2 linked regions of the Tribolium castaneum genome follow. The protein of the gene in region 1 interacts with the protein of each later gene in a pairwise test. Links are inferred from orthologs where the notes say so. Each region holds a gene or a part of one and is shown in the gene's direction. Other genes may lie near its edges.

The links.
Region 2: the proteins of Vps45 (region 1) and Rbsn-5 interact in a two-hybrid assay, tested with the Drosophila melanogaster proteins (2 studies listed by BioGRID). The link is inferred for Tribolium castaneum from reciprocal best matches to the Drosophila melanogaster genes Vps45 and Rbsn-5.

Annotation. Positions count from the first base shown.
Region 1 is NC_087394.1:20,345,070-20,352,260, forward strand, and holds Vps45 (vacuolar protein sorting-associated protein 45), read left to right. Parts: upstream 1-2,465; 5' UTR 2,466-2,602; coding exon 2,603-4,312; 3' UTR 4,313-4,407; downstream 4,408-7,191. Other genes in the region: IleRS-m (isoleucine--tRNA ligase, mitochondrial), read right to left, coding at 1-120, 166-270, 322-520, 1,813-1,957, 2,008-2,130, 2,182-2,352; Sirt7 (NAD-dependent protein deacetylase sirtuin-7), read left to right, coding at 4,579-4,731, 4,781-5,094.
Region 2 is NC_087396.1:24,290,133-24,297,055, reverse strand, and holds Rbsn-5 (rabenosyn-5), read left to right. Parts: upstream 1-3,730; 5' UTR 3,731-3,784; coding exon 3,785-3,920; intron 3,921-3,969; coding exon 3,970-4,383; intron 4,384-4,431; coding exon 4,432-5,186; 3' UTR 5,187-5,317; downstream 5,318-6,923. Other genes in the region: tup (tailup), read left to right, coding at 1,498-1,710, 2,728-2,895; uncharacterized protein LOC103313509, read right to left, coding at 5,341-5,528, 5,573-5,699, 5,745-5,929, 5,974-6,228, 6,274-6,923.

The DNA of each region.
Region 1 (7,191 bases):
ATATAAAGACAATTGTCTTTGGAATTTTTTACTAAACAATACTGTAAAGTTGGATTATAACAAACTGTTTGGTTTGCCGGTAATGTCCATGGAGTTGTTGTCCAAACTAAGGCGTAAACCCTTTAAAACATTTTTACTCCGCTGTGGCTTAAATTTGTAACTTACTGCTCATTGCTTCTGTTAGGAAACTGGTTTACTTTTAATCTAACGAAAACACTTTTGCTTGTATGATGTTCATTATATTCCAGTTCAGCTTCAGCTAAAGCTGTTCTGAAATTGTTTATAGTACGTTTAAAATGAAAATAACTCAGTATTTTCTACCTTGATGAAGGTGACCAATAAATGGGTTTAAAATCTCTATAAATGAGGTTCTTTTGATAGAGTTTGTTAAATAATTTCAATTGTATTTTAACGTAATCAGGATTATAAGTGGCATAATGGTTATTCCAATCACCCATTACTCCCCATGATTGAAAAATAGTTTTTTGGTCCTTTATAGTGTTTTTTGCAAAACTCCTAGCTAAACACAAAACAATTATATCGGGAGTAAAGTAATAAAAACGTGGTCCAGAGTGTTGTGAAAATTTCGTGTCCTGCGTATATTATGTTTAATCAAAGGACAAATTATTATACAGAATACACGAACAGAATTTGTTGTTTGTGCAACACCTTTTTCCATTGTATATCAGACGTATCATTTGCAAATCAGAAAGCATAATTTTTAATTTATTATAAGCACAAACAGTTGATACTTTTTGAAATTTATCTGACGCATTTTAAGCTACAATTAGAAAAGGTATAAAAAAGATTGGTTTTAAATGAAATGATTCGTAAATTTGTAAATTTGCCAGATGACTGACAGGTACTGACGTTATCTTGGTTATCTCCATAAAATTTTCACAGCACGCTTGACCACATTTTTTTACTTGCAGTTCGATAGAACGTATTCCAAATCTGGTGGCAAACTGACATTGTCAAAAATGAGTGAATTTTTGCATTAAATATATGTTTACAATTGAAAAAGAAATTGCCCGTAGGCGTCGTAATACAATGTCTTTCAAATCCACTGTTAGTCTTTAAAAAAATATAATAAGATACGTAAGATGAAGAATAACATAATGAACAAATTATTAATAATAACAGTAATATTTCTGTGTCTTTGTCCTCAAAATTTATTATATGTATTAGAATTCATAGTAGAATTGCTCCATTTCACTCCAAAAAATTCAAATGCGCTGTTGCAAAATTCTACTACATATAAATGAAATGGGATATATATCCCATGTCAGTAAATTTGAATTTGGGTTCCAAAAATGAAGCAAAAATTGACAGTTTTTGGTGGGTTTTCAAAACGTGTCGCTGGGATTTAGTTTAACACAGAATTCGTTTCCTTTACAGAAACTCTCTATTTGTGCTTTATTTTTCACTCAGAAAAATTCACTGTTGCAATTCTATTGTGAACTGAAATTTGATATACTAGCTGTTTCAAAACTATAAAAATGCCAACGTCGAATTTTCTCTTCAAATCAGTTGTACTTCAAAAAATTGATAGCTAATGTAATTTACAGTTTCAATGAGAGATCTAATCATTAATAACATTAATAACTATTTTGCAATTCTATCCATCTTAAAAAGAAAAATAATACGGTAAGATACGACATTGGTGTTGGCTAATATTATTTATTATTGTTAAAATGACAACTAATTTCATAATTTTAACTAAGTTGGTGCATTTCAAGTCTTTTACGTCACTGTCAGTTCGTCACCAGATCCGGAACAAGTGGGTAATTTGTAGTAACACAGTTGATTTACCTTTAGATCTAATTTCTAATGCTTCTGCGCCAGGTTTTGATAGTGCTTTTAATTCAATTGGTAGCCCATGACAATCCCACCCTGGCACATAGTGGACCTTGTGCCCTTTTAAAATATGATATCTCAAAATTGTATCTTTAAGAATCTGCAAATTTCAAATATAATTAAGCCTAAAAAGTAAAAATGGTCTATTACTTTATTAAGAGCATGCCCCATGTGCAGCTTTCCGTTTGCGTATGGGGGTCCATCGTGTAAAACAAACTCAGGCTCCGATAAGTAACTTCTTTGCCACTTGTACAACTGATCAAATTCGGCAATCTAAAGACGTTTGAATCACAAATGAACCAGATACATAAAAATATTACTTGCAGTAGTAATTTTTTCGTCACGTTCCACCAATTTTTTGTTCTCTAACCTCAATGGAAATTTGGTTTTTGGCAAAAATATTGTACTACTGTACTTGTTTTTCTTTTCATTTTGTGTGCAGTAATAACAAAAATTCACATGTCTTTTTTGTCGCAAAATTAATCGCAAAATCATTTTCTCGGCTACTTTTCAAATAAGATAACCTGAATTAACCTCACATTTTTTTTTTACACAGATGAACTACGGTGGCGTAGCTCCAGTCAACCGTAGAAAGTAGATTGTTTGTACCAAAACTGTAGTTCTACTAACGTTGACGTCTCTAGTTTGACGTCTCGAAAATCGATTCCAATTTGAAGAAAGATGATAAAGCCGCTTTTACCTACTTCTGTTATTTAATTGTTATGCCAAGAGTTAGTTATTAAAGATGAACCTAATAGCAGCAGTAAAGGCATATGTCACCAAAATGACCGAAGAGAGCGAACCCGGAATGAAAATCTTATTAATGGACAAGGAGACAACCAGTGTCATCAGTATGGTTTACGGCCAGTCTGAAATTCAGCAAAAAGAGGTTTTCCTGCTCGAGAGATTGGATTCACCAAACCAGAGCAATTCGTTGGGGCTGCGCTATCTAAAATGTTTAGTCTTCCTCCGCCCCACGCAGGAAAACATTGGGTTATTGTGTAATGAATTGCGTTATCCCAAGTACGGCGCTTACTACATCTACTTCAGCAACATTGTGGCCAAAGCTGACATCAAGATTTTAGCTGAACATGATGAGCAAGAAGTTGTTAAGGAAGTTCAGGAGTTGTACATGGATTATTTAGCTGTGAACCCTCATCTGTTTTCAATAGGTTTACCAACTTGCATGAACAGTCTGTCTTGGAACCCTACAGCTCTCCAAAGAACAGTTCAAGGAATTGTTGCTGTTCTCCTCTCATTGAAGAAGAGTCCAGCAATCAGATATCAAGCCAATTCAAAGCTTTGCAAAGACCTTGGAACACGAATTGACGAAGTTATGAATAAAGAATCGTCATTGTTTGCGTTCGGCCAAAACAGCCACCCTTTGTTGCTCATTTTGGACCGAAGAGATGACCCAATGACTCCTCTCCTAAACCAGTGGACATATCAAGCTATGGTACATGAACTATTAACAATCAATAATAATCGCGTCAACTTATCGGGAATCCCTGGAGTCGGTAAAGAATTATCTGAAGTGGTTTTATCAGCAGAACAGGACCCATTTTATGCCAAAAATATTTTTCTGAATTACGGCGAAATTGGACAGAATATCAAACAACTAATGGATCAGTTCCAAGCCAAAGCCAAGAGCCACCAAAAAATTGAAAGTATCGCGGATATGAAGAATTTTGTTGAAGCTTATCCACAATTTAAGAAACTCTCAGGAAACGTTACTAAACATGTGACAGTCGTTGGTGAGTTAAGTTCAATGGTCAATAAATACCACCTACTTGATGTGTCTGAAATTGAGCAGGAGATTTCCTCACATAATGACCACTCATCACATTTGCAAAGCATCAAGAAGCTAATAAACAATGATAAAGTTAGAAATACAGATATTGCAAAATTAGTGATGCTTTATGCGTTACGCTATCAAAATCACAGCAACAATGACGTGGTGGGACTTATTGAATTGCTAAAAAAGAGAGGAGTTTCCGAACGTCTTATTAAGAATATTGTCAATATATTGGAATATGCGGGTTCACACGCTAGACAAAGTGATTTTCTCAACGTGGAAAACGCCCTTCAAAGCACGAAGCGGTTCTTTAAGGGATTAAGTGGAGTTGATAATGTATACACGCAACATAAACCTTTAATCCATGAAACCCTTGAAGAATTGGTTAAGGGACGATTGAAAGACAGCCTTTATCCCTACGTTGGAAATCATTTTCTCAACGGGAGACCTCAAGACATCATCATTTTTATGGTCGGAGGCACAACCTACGAGGAGTCTTTAACTGTACATTCCTTCAACAAAAGTAATCCGAGCTTTAATATTGCTCTTGGAGGCACAACAATCCATAATTCTACGAGCTTTTTAGCTGAAGTTGAACAAGCTACGAGAAATCTACCCAGAAAACATACCAGAAATATCCGTAATGTTAGATTTGACTAATTTCGGTACAGACTTATGAGAATTGTATATTTTATTTATTTATGTTGTTATGTAATAAATAATAATTGATTATCTAATAAAAGGATAATAAAGCATTTTGAGTGTGTTTGAATTTCGCGGGTGTTTTTAGTGTTATTCTAGGGCCATCAGCATTGCCAATAATGCCAATACAACAATTGTCAAACAGGTGAAAATGGACGTGAGGGGCTGGCAGTTTGTTTATGTAAAATGTTGCAACAAAAACACTAATAATACAGTTAATTAAAATGGAAAACGAAGTAAATGTTGTGGAGAGTCTCGAGAATGTTGGTATGGACGTTGAAGAACGAATGATGAAACGATGTAGACTACCTAGAAGACAAGTAGTGCAATCAAAGAGGTTCTGTGCCAAAGATGAGAGAAACGCATCACTGAAAAAGGTTTATTGCTTGTAAATCGAGCGGGCTGTTAATATATTCTTCGTTGTAGGTTTCTGTTATCCTCCAGAAATCGGAGACTGATCGAACTTTTGAAGAAGCTCAGGTATTAAATGAATGCTCTGAAGTAGTCGAAGAGGTCCAGATGCGGTGGCGTAAGCGAGACGTAGCCAAACGAAGATTAGAGGAATTTGAGGAACCTCCAGAAGTGTTGAAAGAAAAATGTCTAATCCTTGCACAAGCTATAGCACAGGCACAACATCTGGTAGTTTACACTGGAGCTGGAATCAGTACTGCAGCTAAAATTCCAGATTATAGAGGTCCTAATGGGATTTGGACAAGGCTTCAGCAAGGAAAAGACATTGGGTGAGTACCAGTTTACCAACTCTGTCAAAAGTTTTCGAAAAATTTATTCATAAACAAAGTTCAGAAAACATTCTGTGTGACAACCAGTCAGGTTTTTATGTTAGGTAATTTAGTAAATAAGCCGGTGACAGACTTGCAAGCATTACAGTAATTTCATTAGATTTTGCAAAAAGTTAGCTTTTTATGAATTCGATGAAAATGCAGTTTTGTTATTCTCTTTCTACTTCCAAGATCGGTATTAAGTTGTAAGAAGCAAAAATCTTATTTAGCGCACATAACTTAAGGTGTGCCCCAAAGTTCAGTTTTAAATCCAATCCTTTTTTATTAATTAAAAGTACAGGATGGACCCGATATATAACCTGCTAAACAAATTCTGAGTCACTAGAAAGATTCCACAAGTCCAGAAAACCTTTTTTGTATGGTCACACACATTCGACGGTAATGAACACAGTCATAGTCAGGAATTAATTGTCAGTACTTGTAAGTTTATCTATGTCCAAGCAACTTGAATCATTTGTAATCAATATTTGTAACGTAACAAATCTGACTAATCAAATTAAACTAATGGCATTTTTAATAATCTATTATTTTTACCTCGATAACGAAAAAAAATTGTGTATAAGTTCTACTCATAGTCACCTATTAGCTATTTCAAAACTATAAAAACGCCAACGTCGCATTTTCTCTCAAAATTAGCTGTTATAAATTATTCAGTGCACTTCAAAATAATAACAGCTAATGTAATTTATACTTTCAATGAGAGATCTAATCATTAATAACTATTTTACAATTTTATCAATCTTATTTAACAAAATTATTTGGTAAAATTTCGATTAATTAGTATTTTCATATTTTTTATTTTATTTTTTTGATATTATATTCTTAATTAATTAATATTAATTATAATTATTTAAGAAAAATTCTGAAAAAAATTACATGTATGAAGAAGAATATAAAGTATGTAAAGTCAGTAAACGTTGACTTGAGTGCGACTATTCGGAAGTAAAATTACCGTTGGAGGCGCCACTGAGCTAGGTCGAAAACAGTAACCATAAATGGCGGGAAAATGTTTATTCGGATATTTTGAGCGTTGTACGAATTTTGGGGCTTCACAATTATTACATTGCCTATGCGGAATGGGGTTATTGCATCTTTGATGCAAGAAACTTATGTTGACAAATGAGCGATGACGAGGAAAACACGAATAACGAATGACTGTTTGGTTCACTTTCTTTATTGGAAAATTATTACAAAGACATTGAAAAGCCTACCTTTTGGCATAATTTACGTTTAAATGTATCAGCAGTTGTTAATCTTTATTGTAGTTTTGTAGATTTACCGCAGCATTTCATGATTTTTTCATTGAAAAATTCTAACCTAAAATTCATAGCACTTCACTAATTTATTGGTATCTTGAGCCAAACTTTGTGTCCGCTGTGATCCATTACTTATAATCTTTAATTAGACAACTGTTTGATAACACTTTGTAATCAAAATTTAAATATTTTTCACTTTTTATCCACTTTCAAGTTCCAACAATAAACACTTTATACCACGAAAAACTACAGAACCAAAGTCAACGCTAGTATTTACCACCACGTACTTTTAAAGTAATTCTTTCTATTGTAAGTAATTAAAACTATACACGCAAAATTGTTGAACAATTCATTAAATGTCAGTTAAATGTGGCATTACGAAAATTTCTTTACTGTTTTCGACATAGTTCAAAAGTCATCACCAGAGGGCGTCTAGTTAATTTTATTTCCGAATTGGTTGTTGAGATATACAGAGTGAGTCAATGGTGGGTTACTTTTGACGGATGCAACCAAAATACTCTTTGCACTTACCACTTGAATACTTTGTTTAATTTTTAAAAACATTAATTGAATCAACACTGGGTTTTTATCATTTAAATAATAATCCATAATGAAATTTTAGCAAAAGTGTCAAGACAAACTTGATCTAGGCAGCTAGAATCAGAATTATTGGTTGCATATTTATAGAATTTCAGAACAACCTTGTAGTGAAAAATGTTTTTAGTAGACTCACCTCGTATTGCTCATTACAAAATACTCACACTGTGAAGCTTCAGTCACA
Region 2 (6,923 bases), on another chromosome or scaffold:
TGTAGTAAAAATAAAAAAATTAAATCAAATTAAAAAAATTCAATAAGAACCAAAAACTTTATTTAAAATAAGGACAGAGGTATTTAGTTATGCATCTTTATTAGCCCCAAAAAATGCTACTATAATTAATAGCAGAATAAACATTCATTCAAAAAGTCCAAAATTCGATGATTTCACTATAGTTTGAAAATTATTGAATACCGCCATCTGAAGGATCCTTCAGATACGTCAGATACGACATTTTTTCCAAGATGAAAATAAAGAGCTAACTCTGTTTGTCGTGAAGATTTCAAAAAGTGTAACCGACAGAAAAGATATAGGACCTGTTGATAAAAGTCCTCATAAAAAAAATTCAAAGTTCCTAGTTCCGGATGTTCCGCCATCTCGAAAATAATTACATTGGAATCAGTTTTGGTCGCTTTTTAAAGCCGTAGAACATTTTTTAACTTGAAAATTACTTTCAGTCGTTTTATACAAGCAACATTAAGCAACACGTGACCAAATTGAAAAATTTGATTGGTCTATTCGCGTAGTTAACTTTTAACAACGAATTAAATTTTAACAAAGTCTTTCTATAAACCGGCTCTTAAAATCACTAAAATACACCTACCTTTTTGGGGGGTGTTTGGTGTATTAGATAGGTTGGTAGTATTCCTCCGCCGATTTTGCACCTGTCAAATTTTGTGTTTCTGTCAAATTCGAATTCAAAACGTGTTGTGTTAAAGCCTTGGGATTATTTGAAGGCAAACATTAAAACAGTTTAATGAATTTTCTCAATACCTAGTGTATTATACTCGTACCTCATTACAAATATTCTTTGTTAAACCTTAACATTGTAACTCACTGTACTACAACTTTTAGCGCGGAGTACTAATCGTAACTCCCTAAAAATAGTACCTTTACCAAAGAGTCGTGGTTTATTTTTCCACAAGTGTATTAAAAATGAGTCGAAAAAGAAAGTTTCTTGTTTTTACAATCCCATTGGGGCAAGTCAATGTGTCGCACAGCCGTACACACAACCGTGTTATTATTGATTAGTGGCGTAGCATCCCAACAGATTGCCCAGTCTATAATTGAATACCCCCCACCTCTCAGGTCGTTCACGTCGTAAATCTCAGGAGGCGTTTCTTATCAGCTGAGCGTGTCCCCGCCTCTCGTCGTCAACCAATCGTCTGCGTCACACATGAGCTCAACCGGTCGATTTCGCTTTTTTCTGAGGGATATAGAGGGGGTCGTGTCTTTCGGTTGGCACTCACTGGCCCAACATTTAAATCGCAAACATGACTCAAACTAGTTTTTTAACCTTGGAGAAGATGACTTCTCATTGCATGCCCCTTGTTGTCTCGGCATGTTATTTATGGGTGGTATGAGAAAACGGATGGCGGTTGAAGAATAATTCCAGTTAAATTAACAAATATTTAATGCTCTGGTTGTTGTTTGTACCGTTGTAAAATTGTACTTTTTTATGTTTCCCGTTTAATGTCTAACATAACCCAGTATTACGTGCAGGATGGGCGAAAATTGGGTTACGGTGCCATGCAGGGTATCCCAATGGTAGCGTCATCACCTGTACGACACGATTCACCCATCGGTGTCCATCCCCTTGAAGTACAAGCTTACCAACCACCATGGAAAGCCCTATCAGATTTCGCCCTTCATGCAGACTTAGAGCAACCCCATCAGCCGGCCTTCCAGCAGCTCGTCAACCAGGTAATAAGCAAATTCCCCCATCGCCACATACTTTATTTTATTATTACATCAGAAGGAAAATTTTGCATCGGTTATTAAATTAATCACTGCTTGTTTGCTTCGCCTAATTTAAGGCATAACAGTAAAAAATTAAGACAAGAGAAAACATTATTTCATGCATAGGTAATATAAATATCTGTAAAATAAATTGCTGTGATTTAGACATAATAGGTAGGTACCTATTCAATAATCCATAAAATTATTATTTTAGGCAATAGCTTTCAGTCAACAAAATATTTTTTATTTTCAGCTGCAATACCTAATAAAGCCGTCATATAGGTACTACTTAGTTGGTTGTTTGGCTGACAATTCTTACATGCGGTGCGACGGTCTTAAAATTTGCTTAATTAATTAATGTTTCATTTTTCTATAACTAGATTATACCGTGTTATTTCGCTTCTCGTGCAAAAATGAAGTGTTTATTCTATTCAATAATATCTAGAAATGTAGCTATGAAAAAAAATGCACTTGAGAAAGAGAAATTTTATATGAGAATGTCATTTTTTCAATAAAATAACGGATACTCGTAGGAGAAATAAGTCGAAGAAAAAAAAAGAAGAAACTGCAAACTATTTAAATACTTATTTATTAAAATTTACTTACAAGCCATTGTCCAGCACGAAGGAGACAAAGGAAATATTTGCTAAAGCTGTTATACGTAAAGAAAATTTTTACAAAATGTTATTTTCCGCTTTATTTGAAATTTTTTTGAAACATTACAACTCTCGGAACTATTATTTCATCGTCCAGTGAGTCAAGAGATACCTATTAAGTATGGAAAACAAAGTTTTAATTTTTTATGTTTGTGTTTTTGTGCCGTTATTGATAATGCCGTAACAGGCGAAACTAGTCGAATGAAAATAAATTGAAGAAAGTCAGGATTCCAATCATTTATGATAATTTTTAACGTTTTTCTTTTAATGAAAGAAGTTTTTCTCTTCGTAATTTGTAATATTGCTAATAATTTTTGTCCAACAGATGCATGGGTACGACCTGCCGCCCCCGTCGATGGGCCCCGCCACCGGCCCACCCCCGGGTATGCTGCCCTCATCAGCGCCGCCGTCTGACGTCATGACGCATCCCGACAGCACCGATAGTTACGTTACCTACCTCGAAAGCGACGAGAGCCTTCCCGCCAGTCCCTAACACCCCCACAACTAGCCGTCGCCGCTTCCGCCCCTAAACGCTCTCACACCCCTTCTCACCTCTTTCCTCCTTTACCACCACCAAGGACTGATTCGGCGGCTGTGCAGACCACCACCCTAGTAACCACCACCATCATGGCTACAATTTCAGGACGATAAAGGAACGAACAAAACGAACAATCACTTTTTTGGTTTTTCATCATCACAATAAGTGGCCAGAACGAATCTCAATTTAATCAAAATCAAAATTTCAACACATATCGCCACTTTGCGTTGATCTCACTCGAGAGTCATCGAAGTTTTCACATGGTTTTTGTTGGCCAGTCTCAATATTCCTTGTTTTACGTACAGTTGGAGAAAAAATACTGAGTGGTATTTTTTTCCGGCTTTACAGTTGTATCATTAGATGTTTTGTTGATGTTGTTATTGTCGGGGTATGCGTGAAGCAGTTTTTTACTAATACACTGTACCATATTGTAAAATTATATATCTAATGTAACATTTGATTGTACAATTTGTTATGGAAAATCTAACTTTGTCGCTAATTTGTAGGTGTTATTAATTTTAGATTTACTACTGTGCATTCGAATGTATGATATTTTTACAGAGCTCTGTATCACATAATTTATTGCAATGAATTTATAAAACTGTATTTGATAAGAAATAAAACAGCAAGTTATCTGTAAATAATGTTACATTAAAAAATTAATTTGTAAATAAATACATGAGATAATCGCGCGCCTTTTATTTCCGTCAACAAAAAAAATGACAGTCAGCAGAAGTCAGTCAACAAAATCCAAGGTTGCCAACCCAAACAGTCATTTTCAATCACTCGTATTACGTTGTCAAATGTCAATTAAACGTCAGTTTGACATGTTTGTAAAGCGATAATGGCTGAAGCAAATTTGATAAAAGAGGGCTTCTTGTGCCCCATTTGCCACAAAGACTTGCGTTCCCCGAACAATCTGATTGCCCACTTCCAAGACTTACATTCCGAAGAACAAGACATCCTAAAATCCATCAAAGGTGAGGTTATGTCAGCTGTTCTCAACACTTAAACGTTCAATTTTCACAGATTTGTACGGCAAAGCCAAGAAAAAGATATTAAAACTTGACGAACAAGACTTGGAAGTTTTCAAAAATGAAATCACCTTAGAAAAGTATTATTTAGAGATAAGTGAGCCGCAAGAACCCGGTCAGATCCGGAGTCACACTGATTATTTCAAAGCCGTTCGTAGAGAACGACTCGATCATCGAACCACCGAAACTAATAAACTTATTATTAGGTTGGATAGGTTGTTGAGGTTCTATGGGTCGGATCGTAAACAGCAAGAGCAGGAGTTGGTGGCTTGGTTGGATGGTTCCACAGTGACACGCTGTCCTTCATGTGCGTCTAGTTTTAATATTACAAGGAGACAGCACCATTGTAGGTTATGTGGAAGCATTATGTGCAACGCGTGTTCCTATTTTTTGCCATATGAGACGGCTCGTAAGTCATTTTTTAAACACCAAGATACAGTATAATTTTTCATTCCAGAAGCGATAGTTGCCCCCGTTCACAACGTGGACGTAAACAACCGGGAGCAAGTCCAAGGTAAGGAACCAGACAGCCTCCGTATTTGCAACCATTGCCTCGACATGCTCGAGAGTCGCAGACGCGTGCAACTCGAACAAATGAGACAACCAATAATTTGCCAATTGTACAACCACCTACAAAACCTCAAATCCCAAACTCAGAGCTCCGTTGATTTGTATTTAAAAATGTACAATTCCCTAACGTCCGGTGAGACCACGTTTCAACTGCAAGACACTCAATCTTTAAGGGCTTCAATTGCCAAAAAAGCCGAATCAATTGATATTTTGAGTAAAAAAATCGCATCCTTGCCTGTGGACGAAGAAACGCCTAAAGTCGAACTACTACAAAATAGTATAAGACGGGGGACTTCTCATTACATTAAAGACTATTTATTAACACTACCAGCGCCCCCTTCTGTCCAAGAACTCGAGAGAATTAAACGCGAACGCTCTCTGAGGAACACTGAAGAGGAGAATCAATTGGCAGTCAAAACGAACATAAAAAGAGTGACAGTGACCACAGGTTGGTCACCTGCAGCTGTGAGTAATGAAAATACCGAAACTGAGGACCCGCTAATTGAGCAAATGAATATTGTGCGGAATTATATTGACCAAGCACGGAAAGCGCAACGATTTGAAGAAGTGGCCTCGCTTCAGGAGAATTTAAAAATGTTGAAGGAGACATACAAACAGCAACAATTGACGAGAGATAGCTAAATAAATTAACCCATTTTTTGGAACTTGGTGCTGAACAAATATGAAATACTGTAATTATTTATTAACTGCATGTTCACTAGTCACACTATTGCACTGTATCTATTATTATTTACCAAAATATATTTTTAATTAATACATAATTAAATAACAAAAATCAATTTTCTCTTAAATTGTGCAAATTTGGTTTTGCGACCTCTTCATCATAGAATCGATTGAGGAAAATTAAGGGAGTGAGTGTCGGTCTTCCGTGAGCGCATTGAAACGGCAACTTGCACTTTGCCAAATTTTTCAAATGTGCAAAACACTCGTTTTTGGTCAAAGAATCTCCGAATTTAATTGCACCTAAAAATAGTTTTACACTAAAATTAATTTGTCAATCGGCAAACCTCTGCAAGCCTCGGAATTGACGATATTTTGTATAAGACTCGGAGTATTTACCATAATTTCGTTGTTAGTTTTCAAAAGATCAACAATTTCTTTGATCAAAGTCTGAGTCAAAAACACAATATCGACCTACAAAACTGTGACAATTACTACAACAAGTGCAACCAAATGTACCCCTTTTTTCGACTTGTTGTAAAGACACAGCGGCACTTGATAAATGGTCAACCCGTTGGTGAAAAACTCCAAAACGAGACCTAGCGACTTGAGATTAGTTTTTTGTCGCTTGAGGAGCGTTAAGTCACTTTGTGGCAAAAAAATTGTAATGTCTTGGTCAAGTTTCGTGGATGCGTTTTTGTAACCTGTAATTATCTCAGTTGAAGTTTTTACACAAGTGTGACACGACCTTCCGATAGCTCCTCCAAACGCACCCTCTCGTGCACAGCATGTTGGTCAAACAACACAACCAAATTCCTCGTCCGTTCCCACACTGCAATAAATTTGCAATCAACCTGGCCGATAATATCAACATTTTTGAATAAATCCTTCGTGAAGCTTATATTTTCAAAATCCTTGACATGTCTATTGTACGCATTAGGAACCTCACTTTCGATTAATCTCGACTTTTCCACATAAATTTCATCGAAGAATTTCTTCGGATCTGTAACACGTTCATGTGACAAGGCAACGTTTCGTAAACAATTACCCCCATCATCAAGACACTTCTGCCACTTAACCATCAACAACTCGTCTTCGTACGATTGTACGAGCGCATTTTGTAGCTGTTGCCTCGATTTGGGGCTCATGTCGTCCACTTTGCCACAATCTTTCAAAATCGGAGACAGGCCTTTGGGGACAAAGTCAAAGCGTTCGGTCATTTCAAAAGTAATGTCGTTGCCAGTTTTCCTTAACCAAAGGTTCTGATGTTGCGTAAATGTGGGGGCTATGACAATATCCTCAGTTTTGTTTTTCTCAATTTCCTCATCCAGGGTTATTAAAAGCCCACTTTCGGATGACTTATCAAATAAATCTCGCGACTCTTCCAAAAGGGTGTGTTTCGGGGTTTGAACCCTTAATTTACAACTCTTAGATTTTTGAGGCGTGAAGTATTTACTAGTATGTGATTCGTTCAAAATTCTTTTCGTATTGTCTTTTTTAATAAACTTAAAATCAACTGTATTATCCAAGTCATTTGACCAGTTCTCTTTATTCGAATCAATCTCAAATTTGCTAGCTTTGGCCTTCTTAGCAAAATACGGCGATTGCCTCACTTGATCAAACGTGTTTTCATTAGCAAAAATATTAAAACTGCTACGCCTTGTATTACGAAAATCGAACAATTTCTTCGGCTGATTG